2 linked regions of the Macaca fascicularis genome follow. Each later gene encodes a partner of the first gene's protein in a complex. Links are inferred from orthologs where the notes say so. Each region holds a gene or a part of one and is shown on either strand. Other genes may lie near its edges.

Region 1 (4,769 bases):
ACCTCTGTAGACATCCCTATGATGTCCTATGATCTCGGCTCACTGCAGCTTCCACCTCCAGGGTTCAAGCGATTCTCGTGCCTCATCCTCCTGAGCAGCTGGAACTAGAGACAGATGCTGCCACGCCCAACTAACTTTTCTATTTTTAGTAGAGACAGGGTTTGACCATGTTGGCCAGGCTGGTCTTGAACTCCTGGCCTAAAGTGATCCGCCCACCTCAGCCTCCCAAAGTGCTGGGATTACAGGTGTGAGCCACTGTGCTTGGCTACTTTTAAAATTTTATTACTGCAAGGAAAAGAATAGGACTGCTCCACAAGGGACTTCAAAGAGATTCTATGACAGAGATACAAAGTGAAACATTTTATGGTTAAAACACCATTACACTTAATTTTGCACTCCTTCCACACTGTCCTGTCTGTGAACTTGGATGGGTAACTTGGATCTGAATTGATGAAATACAGCATTTTAAAGTCAGCAACAAAATGTAGCTCCTCCTGTATTCTTCATTATGTTTCATTGATGATATGACCTAACAAACCTTCTGTTTGCTGTTACGGCCTGATGTAACTTACATTTTATGTAAATATTTTGCAAAGAATTAAGCATTCTCAAATGCATAGCCATTTTTTTCCAGAAAGCATTTGTATATGTCCACAAATAGTTTTATCTTACTGGTATCTATATTTTGATTTTTCTGAGCAACTGTATCCAATCAGGGTTTAGAGTAGGCATATATATATATATGTATATATAGTTTTTTAAATTAAAACTGTGGCATACACATAAAATATACCTAGTTCTTTTCTTTTTCCCTTCCAACTTTTGTTTTTGGATCAGGAGGTACGTGAAAAGTTTGCTGCATGTGTAAATCATGTGTCACTGGGGTCTGGCACACAAATTATTTTGTCACCCAGGTAGTGACCATAGTACCCGATAGGTAGTTTTCTGATTCTCACCCCCCTCCCACCCTTCACCCTCAAGTAGGAACTCTTTCTTGAATAAATCCAATCCTCACCCATGTTTCTGTTGTTTTCTTGCTTTCTGAAGGTCAACTCTGTGTGACGTCAACACCTGTCTCTCATGTACACCCAACTGTCTGCAGTGCCATGGTGAAAATTTTCAGTATGTAGGACACATTCTCTGAGATCTTAATTCCAGGGGTATACTTAATCACAAGAAGTTGACAAAGCTGGTCTTCACACACTGTCATATCATTACAGTGAAGTGCTCTACAGGGAAAGCCAAAACCACCCACCACATAGCAATACACAGTAATATTCCTTTCCCTTGATAATCTTGGTAGCAACGCAATAACTGGTAAAATAGAAATAAATGTTGCAATGAGACTTAAGAGTGCATTTCAACTAGCTAATGGTGGCAAATTGCATAGGCAAATTAAGGTCCCCCAAACTGCTCTCGTTTTGGGAACATGCATACTGTCTTTGTGTTACAGCCGGGCAAGCAAGCCGGGGTAAATCCTAGCTTGGGCAGGGATGCTGTGGCATGGTAAGACATCCAGCAAAGGCACACATAACAGCACACAGCGTTTCAGGATGTTTCTCTCTTAATAAACAAATTTCTAGGAAGGAAGAAAATCAGTCCCTTGCTTGGCACACCTCTCCATCCAAAAGGCAGTGACTTAATAAGGTAACAATTGAATCACCAGGATACAGATGCTTTGAATAGCTAAGTAGGTCATTGTGTTCACAGGGCAGATGTCAGAACTGCTTGCCAGATGACAAAAGAGATAACCCTAGGCTGTTTTTATTCCATTTATACAAGACTTAACTCACACATTAGAGCCTCTGCTGTTTACAGCTTTACTCTAAGGATCTATTAGGAGGCTCCAAGAAATTCCCTTGTGCCATTTACACCTTTAGAACTTAAAATAATCTGCACATATGGTAATATGAGCCTGACAGACACAGTCCTGCACCCAGCCAGGCAGAGTGGCTGTAAAACAGCGTCTGTGTTTTAGAGGCATTCTGTGCCTGCTGCATTTCAGCACTTGTGACTTAGTAATGTGAACATATGTGTATCAAGACCCTGCAGCCCTTCTGCTTATCGCACTCAAGAAGGAGCTGTCAATGTACAGGGGTTATGGGATTATGCGCCTGTGCTATCCGAACAGATCTCCCCACACTCCATCCGATCCTCCTCAAATCCCACTGACCAAATACTCTCCTTCCCCTAATATTGGCTGTGCTCTCCCCTCACGTCTCCTTTTCCGCCCCACCTTACCTCTCACTGTGGTCTCTAAGACCTCTCATCACCTCTGCAGACGTCCCTCTGATGTCCCCCAAACTCTGTAGCCCCCGCCACCTCTCCAGGTCCTCCATCAATCCTGTAGACCCTCTCCGCAGGCTCATCACCTCTGACCCTTCCATGGGCCCCGATTACCTCTACAGACCTTTCCCACGGCTTCTTATCACCACTATAGCCTCACCACTCTCCCTCTGTTGCTCCTACAGCCCCTTTTCTTACTCAGAGGGACCCTCCCCACGCCGTCATTACCTACATTACTCAAGCAGTTCCACCCCACAGTCGCTGCTGATCCCCGCAAATCTCCAAGGCGCTCCCACAATCCGTGCAGACCCGCGCCCGGCCACCGCCGCCCCGCAGACGCCCCCTCGGCCGCCAGCTTCCGGACGGCGGCGGCCCCGCTTCCCGCCCGGACCGCGGACTCACAGGGCATTCGCGTGAGCACGTTGCGTGGCGCCTTCCTGCTTCGACCGGGACCCCTCCGGCCCGCTCCTGCGGCTCCGTCCCCTTCCTCTTTGGCCACCATGAGACGGCGGAGACGCTGGATGCGCTCGGGGTCCGGGGCGGGCGCGTCCGGGCGGCGGCGAGTCCTGCCTGAGGGCCCGGGCGCGGAGGGAACCCCCGAGCCCGCGGCCGCGCCCCGAGCCCGCCCGCGCCCGCGCCCGCCGCCCCGGACCCCGGTCCTGAGGAAGCTCTCGTACTCCGCCACGTTGTTGAAGCAGGGGGCATTGGGGTAGGGGATGGGAGGCAGGCGGGGCGCGTACAGCGCCAGCAGCGGGTCGAAGCTGTCAGAGCTGACATCCAGCCGCGGGCTGGGCGGGCGCGCGGGACTCGGGGCGCGAGCCGACCTCGCCCCCCGCTCCCGCTCCTCCATGTTTGAAAGGCCCGCAAGCCGAGGCCGATGGGAAGAAGGAGCGGAGCCGCCAGAGGGCGGCACTGCGCAGCCGCGGCGCGGGGTTGCACTGCGCCGACGCGGCCGCCGGAGGGCAGCACCTGTCCTCGTTCCACCCCGGCCGGGGGGCGTGGTGCGCGGCTCCGACCAGCCCGCGCCTCGCACCGCCTCCGCCCACGGCTGACAGGTTAACGCTGTCGGCTGCTGCTTGACCTGCTCCAATGCAGTTTCCCCATCTATATCATTACCACTTAGGGTGTTTGTTAATACTCTGGGTTCCCCGGGAATAAGCTCGGGATCGCATCCTCGCTTGAGCTGCAGGAAACGTCTGGAGGAAGGCAATGAATGTCTCAATTTGCTTCCATGCTGAGTACTACTGATGGGGTGGGAAGAATAGCCTCCTTGGGCTCAAAGTATTTAGCGTCTTTCTCATCTGAAATATGACATAAATAGTACCTACCTTATAGAACTGACCTCAGGATGGGGAGATACTGCCTACAGAGCTCATAATAGATGCATGTCGGCCAATACTGGGTGTCTGTCCTCCATTTCCTATACACTGTGCATAAACAAATTTGCGCTTAGTATCAAAGAAAATTCATTATATCACTGTCTTTCTAAGCATTGCTAAGCAATTGGAAGAAACGAGGATCCAGCTCTTGGAGGAAACTATGGAAAATTCACAAGACCTGATCATACCACTTGCTACTTTATAGTCTCAGTTCGGCAAAATATTTTTTGGTTGATTTTAAAATGACAGTCTACTCTACACAGAAGGCCCAGATACAACCTTCTCATCCATCAGAGCCAAAATGTTTCCACTCACCTACAGGCCACACATCACTTGCCCATCACCACATTCTTGAACTGCCATCAACTAGTGTTCTCTGTACTAGTTGCTTTGTGTACATTTCAGTTTCCTTAAGACTTAGAGAGGATGTCTCCAAGAGAGTACTGGAGAGTACCTTAGACAGCAAGATGAAAATTAATATACAACTGTGATGTATACCTTGGGATGAATGCATTCTACTGCAAAGATAAAACCATCAAGCAGGCCGGGCGCGGTGGCTCACGCCCGTAATCCCAGCACTTTGGGAGGCCGAGGCAGGTGGATCACGAGGTCAGGAGTTCAAGACCAGCCTGGCCAAGATGGTGATACCTCCCCCCCAATCTCTACTAAAAATACAAAAAATTAGCCGGGCATGGTGGCACGCACCTGTAATCCCGGATACTCCGGAGGCTGAGGGAGAGAGCTGCTTAAACCTGGAGGAGCGGAGGTTGCAGTGAGCCGAGATCGCACCACTGCACTCCAGCCTGGGTGACAGAGCGAGACTCCGTCTCAAAAAAGAAAAGAAAAGAAAAGAAAAACCAAGCAGTGGCTTCTAATTAGTAGCAGTACAGGTTTCTTTATGGCACAGGTTTTGAACGCAGCTTATCACTTTATTCAGAACCCCCTGCCTGAATAAAAAACTCGAAGCTGCAGAACTGCTGGCAATTCAACAAATGAATGCTTATCCCCACATCATATAACAACACTGAGTGATAGCCTTTATAGTGTCATTTAAGACCCACAGAAAGCACGTTTCTCTAGGTGGTTTTCTTGAAAATTTGTACT
Region 2 (4,783 bases), on another chromosome or scaffold:
TAGCTGGGCGTGGTGGCACACGCCTGTAATCTCAGTTACTCAGGAGGCTGAGGCAGGAGAATTGCTTGAAGCCGGGAGGCAGATTGCAATGAGCCAAGATCGCGCCATTGCACTCCAGCCTGGACAACAAGAGCAAGACTCTGTCTCAAAAAATAAAGAAAATGATGATCATTTCTATTGAGCCAGGGACAAGAAAAGGATGCCTTTTATGGCTTCTAATCAACAGTAAAACGTAGGTAATGGTCAATGCAACGTTCAAAAAAACGATTACAGAAAGAAGGGAAGGGAAAGAATTTAGAGAAACAATAATTATAAAGGAAGATCACTGTCCTTGTTTGTCAATTATATGATTATCTACATTGAGAATTCAAGATAAATTATTAGGACCAACAACAAAAGTCAGTATCATTCCTAATACATTAATTTAAATAAATCAATAACTTTTAAAAACAAAAAATACGGCTAGGAGAGGTAACTTGACCAAGGTCACAGTAAATAAGTGGAATTGCTGGAATTCAAATCCGTAGCCGTAGGCCAGGCATGGTGGCTCCCACCTGTAATCCCAGCATTTTGTGAGGCTGAGTCGGGTGGATCGCCGGAGGCCAGGAATTCAAGACCAGCCTGGCCAACATGGTAAAACCCTGTCTCTACTAAAAATACAAAAATTAGCCGGGCATGGTAGTGTGCACCTATAATCCCAGCTGCTCCGGAGGCTGAGGCAGGAGAATCGCTTGAATCCGGGAGGTGGAGGCTGCAGTGAGCCAAGATCATGCCACCGCACTCCAGCCTGCATGAGAGAGACTCTGTCTCAAAAAAAAAAAAAAAAAAAAATCCATAGCCGCCTGGCTCCAAACCTCACACCAGGTGTACATTAGAATCATCTGGCGAGTTTTTAACTCGACCTTCCCCACCCCAGATTCTGATTCATTTGGTTAGAGGGGTGGGCCCAGATTTCCTATTTTGTAAAAGTTTCCAGCCGGGCGCAGTGGCTCACGCCTGTAATCCCAGCACTTTGGGAGGCCGAGGTGGGCGGATCATGAGGTCAGATCGAGACCATCCTGGCTAACACGGTGAAACCCTATCTCTACTAAAAATACAAAAAAATTAGCCGGGCATGGTGGCGGCACCTGTAGTCCCAGCTACTGGGGAGACTAAGGCAGGAGAATGGCGTGGACATGGGAGGCAGAGCTTGCAGTGAGCCGAGATCACGTCACTGCACTCCAGCCTGGGCGACGGAGTGACTCCATCTCAAAAAAAAAAAAAAAAAAAGAAAAAAAAGAAAGAAGAAGAAAAAAAGCTCCCCAGGTAACTCCAAAGTGCTGAGGGGTACTGGTTAGAAATGCATAATCTCAGGTCTCTCCCCAGGCCTGTTCTGAGATAATCCACTCCTTCACTGAGTGGCTCACTGCCATTCTTCCACACTGACTGGAAACAGACTCTGCATTTCAACATGACCCCGTATGTGAATTAGATACACGTGAAGGTTTGAGACTCAGTGCTTGACACCAGTAGTTCTCATACATTATCAGAATCATCTGATACATACAGTGTGTATCAGAATCATCTGAGGGGCCTGTTATCTCAGCTTGCTGGGCCCCACTCCCAGTTTGACTCAGGAGGTCTGAGGTGAGGCCAGAGAGAGTCATTTCGAACATATTCCCAGGTGATGCTGATGCTGCTGGTCAGGGGCCCACACTCTGGGAACTATTGGTCTATACCATGCAGCTGTTAGGTAAGTAGAAATTTAGGTAATGAGGCTGGGCGCAGGGGCTGACGCCTGTAATCCCAGGATTTTGGGAGGCCAAGGGGAGTAGATCACCTGAGGTCAGGAGTTCAAGACCCACCTGGCCAACATGATGAAACCCAGTATCCACTAAAAATACAAAAATTACCTGGGCATGGGAGCACCTGTAATCTGTTACTTGGGAGGCTGAAGCAGGAGAATCGCTTGAACCCAGGAGGCAGAGGTTACAGTGAGCCAAGATTGTGCCACTGCACTCCAGCCTGGGTGACAGAGCGAGACTCTCAGAAAAAAAAAGAAAGAAAATAAATCTAGATAATGAATTGGGGGGGGGGGAAACCCAACCGGTAGTATATAAGGTACATAGGTTTTGAAGGTAGAGAAACCCAGGCTGGAATCCCCACTCCACCCCTAATTATGTAAACCTAGAAAAGTTAATGTCTCTGAACCTGTTTCCACATTTATTAAACTACAGGCGAAACAAAGCTACCAGAATCACACTCCACTGAAGGTACTCTCCTTTGATTTCAACGTACCCCGATATTGTATTAGTGCACTAGGTCTTACCTATCCCTTATTTTCAGACCCTGAGTTAACGGGGGTGCAACGCTCTCTCTTTACGACCTCACTCAGCATCCCGTCCAGGGCTGTGCAGTGTGGCACTGAGCGTGGCAAGCTAGACTAGGCCAGTGATGAGCGGGGCTGGGAGCTAAGTCCTTGGGCAGGGCCTAACGACCAGCCACCAGGCTGCAGCCTGACGAATCTGCGATCAAGCAAAGGTATGGGGTTGCTGCTGCGACTGCAAAGAGCAATCACTAGACCTCGAGTCAGGCCCGGGTTCTAGGACAGGCTCTGCCACCTTCTAGGAGGGAGACCACTTAGCAAACCACTTAGCTTCTCCAAGCTAGCTAAGCTACCGGTAAAACGGGATGAGCACCCCTTACTCAGAGCAGCGGGAGCGGGTCTGGGGAAATGAGCTATACTCGGTAAATGGGGAAGAAAACGCTTCCTGGGCTCCGGCACCTCCTTCCGGAGGTCCTGGCATACCCCACATTCCGCCCCGCGGCTCCCTGCACCGCCGACCCGGACCCACCACGCGACATTCCTTCCGCTTTCCCCGTCTGGGTCGCCGCCGAAGCTAGCGGGCGCCTGGACGGGCTGCCTCCCGCCGGCTGCAGCAGGACGGAGAAACCACGCCGGCGACCGGGCCGCTCTGTCCTCCCGGCGCAGAGTGCGTCTGTGCTCTGCGAGTCATCGCGGCACGGAGAAACTACGATTCCCAGAATGCTTCGCGGCGCGGGGCTCGCGCTCAGCAAATGCCGGCCTGCGTCATTGAAGTCTCCTTCACTAGTCGTTCATTCACTCCGCACGCGTTCTTGAACGGGCACCCTGGGCCAGGCTGCTTCCTAGGCTCCGGCATAGAGCAGTGACCAAGATCAAGTGGCTCCCCGAGCTGATGGCGCTGCAGGGGAGAGAGTCTTAGGAAAACAAACAAGAAAAATAGGGAAAAAGTTCTTTAGAAGATTGAAAGTGTGACGTGGTAGTGACTAGGTGGTCTTTTATTGGATTGTCAGGGGTGTCCTGAGAAGGTGACATTTGAGTTGGGATTAGTGACATGACGCCAAGCTTGTGAAAACTATGGGCGGAGCATTGCAATTAGAGGGAACAGTTTGTTAAATAAAATTTATAGGAGGCAGGGCTGGGCGCGGAGGCCCACACCTGTAATCCCAGCGCTTTGGAAGGAGAAAGCGGGAGGATCATTGGAGCCCAGGAGTTCGAGACTGGTCTGGGCAACATAGGGAGACCCTGTCTCTACAAAAAATAGAAAAAATTAGCCCACTGTGGTAGTGTACACCTCTGGTCCCACCTACTCGGGAGGCTGAGGCAGGAGAATTGCCTGAACCCAGGAAGTGGAGGCTGCAGTGAGCTCAGATTGTACCACTTCATTCTAGCCTGGGCAACAGAGCAAGACTCCGTCTCAAAGAAAAAAAAAAAAAAAAAAGGCAGCCATTGGTTTGGACAGGGCTCCTGCACCAAGCCCAACAGACAAAACCAAAATGGAGTCACTCATGCTAAAGTTCCACATCACCAAGTGGAAACTAAGTTGCTTATCTGATATTCAGATAAATCAGAAGAGTGAGAGATACTTAAATCTCCAAACCATCCAGTTTTAGCTGGCAGGATAAGGAAGTCCCCTCTGCTTTAGCCTTCAAAGTTACAAGGAAAGTAACTTTGAAACAACCAATCTGCTTTTTGTTTTCTGTTTCTGCTTTCCTCAGCCCTTTTCTGTCTGTAAAACTAATCTCCTCTGCTCAGCTTATTTGAACACTCATTCCGTTTTATAGAATGAGATGTTGCCCAATTCTAGAGTTGCAAATAAAACCCAAATTTAACAAATTTAGCAAATAAAAGCCAAATCACCAATTAAAAGTCAATTTTTTTCTTTTCACAATTCATGCAAAGAACCTGGGGGAAATGACCTTGACAATTTAGGAACACAGGAAAGGCCAGGGAAGCTGGGGAGAGTGGTATAACAAGAGACCAGAGAGGAAGCAGGAGCCAGAGCATATAGGACTTTGTGAGCCAAGGTAAGGAGTTTAGATTTCATGGTTAGGAGTGCAGCCTCCGGATACAGTGCCTAGGCTCAAATCTGCTCCTGGCTGTGACTGGGCAAGTTAGCTATCTTCTCTGTGCTTCCGTCTTCTCAACTAGTACTAGAAGTGCTATGATAGGCTATTGAAAGGGAGCAACGTGATTTGATTTACTTGTAGAGACAGGGTCTCACCGTGTCACCCAGGCTGGAGTGCAGTGATGTGATCATAGCTCACTGCAGCCTCAACTTCCTGGGCTCAAGTGATCCTCCTGCCCAAGCCTCAAGAATAGCTGGGACTACAGGCACAAGCCACTGTGCCCTACCTGATTTACATTTTTTTTTTTTTTTTTTTGAGACGGAGTCTCGCTCTGTCGCCCAGGCTGGAGTGCAGTGGCCGGATCTCAGCTCACTGCAAGCTCCACCTCCCAGGTTCACACCATTCTCCTGCC

Evidence for each region. Proteins that work in one complex are often made in the same cells at the same time.
Region 2: LSM11 (region 1) and LSM10 share a complex: the UniProt entries of both Homo sapiens proteins name them as parts of the heptameric ring U7 snRNP complex. The link is inferred for Macaca fascicularis from reciprocal best matches to the Homo sapiens genes LSM11 and LSM10.

Annotation. Positions count from the first base shown.
Region 1 is NC_088380.1:164,546,709-164,551,477, reverse strand, and holds the start of LSM11 (U7 snRNA-associated Sm-like protein LSm11), read right to left. Parts: upstream 3,149-4,769; 5' UTR 3,137-3,148; coding exon 2,689-3,136; intron 1-2,688. UniProt on the Homo sapiens protein: Component of the U7 snRNP complex that is involved in the histone 3'-end pre-mRNA processing. Increases U7 snRNA levels but not histone 3'-end pre-mRNA processing activity, when overexpressed. Required for cell cycle progression from G1 to S phases.
Region 2 is NC_088375.1:198,522,919-198,527,701, reverse strand, and holds the start of LSM10 (U7 snRNA-associated Sm-like protein LSm10), read right to left. Parts: upstream 2,981-4,783; 5' UTR 2,789-2,980; intron 1-2,788. UniProt on the Homo sapiens protein: Appears to function in the U7 snRNP complex that is involved in histone 3'-end processing. Increases U7 snRNA levels but not histone 3'-end pre-mRNA processing activity, when overexpressed. Required for cell cycle progression from G1 to S phases.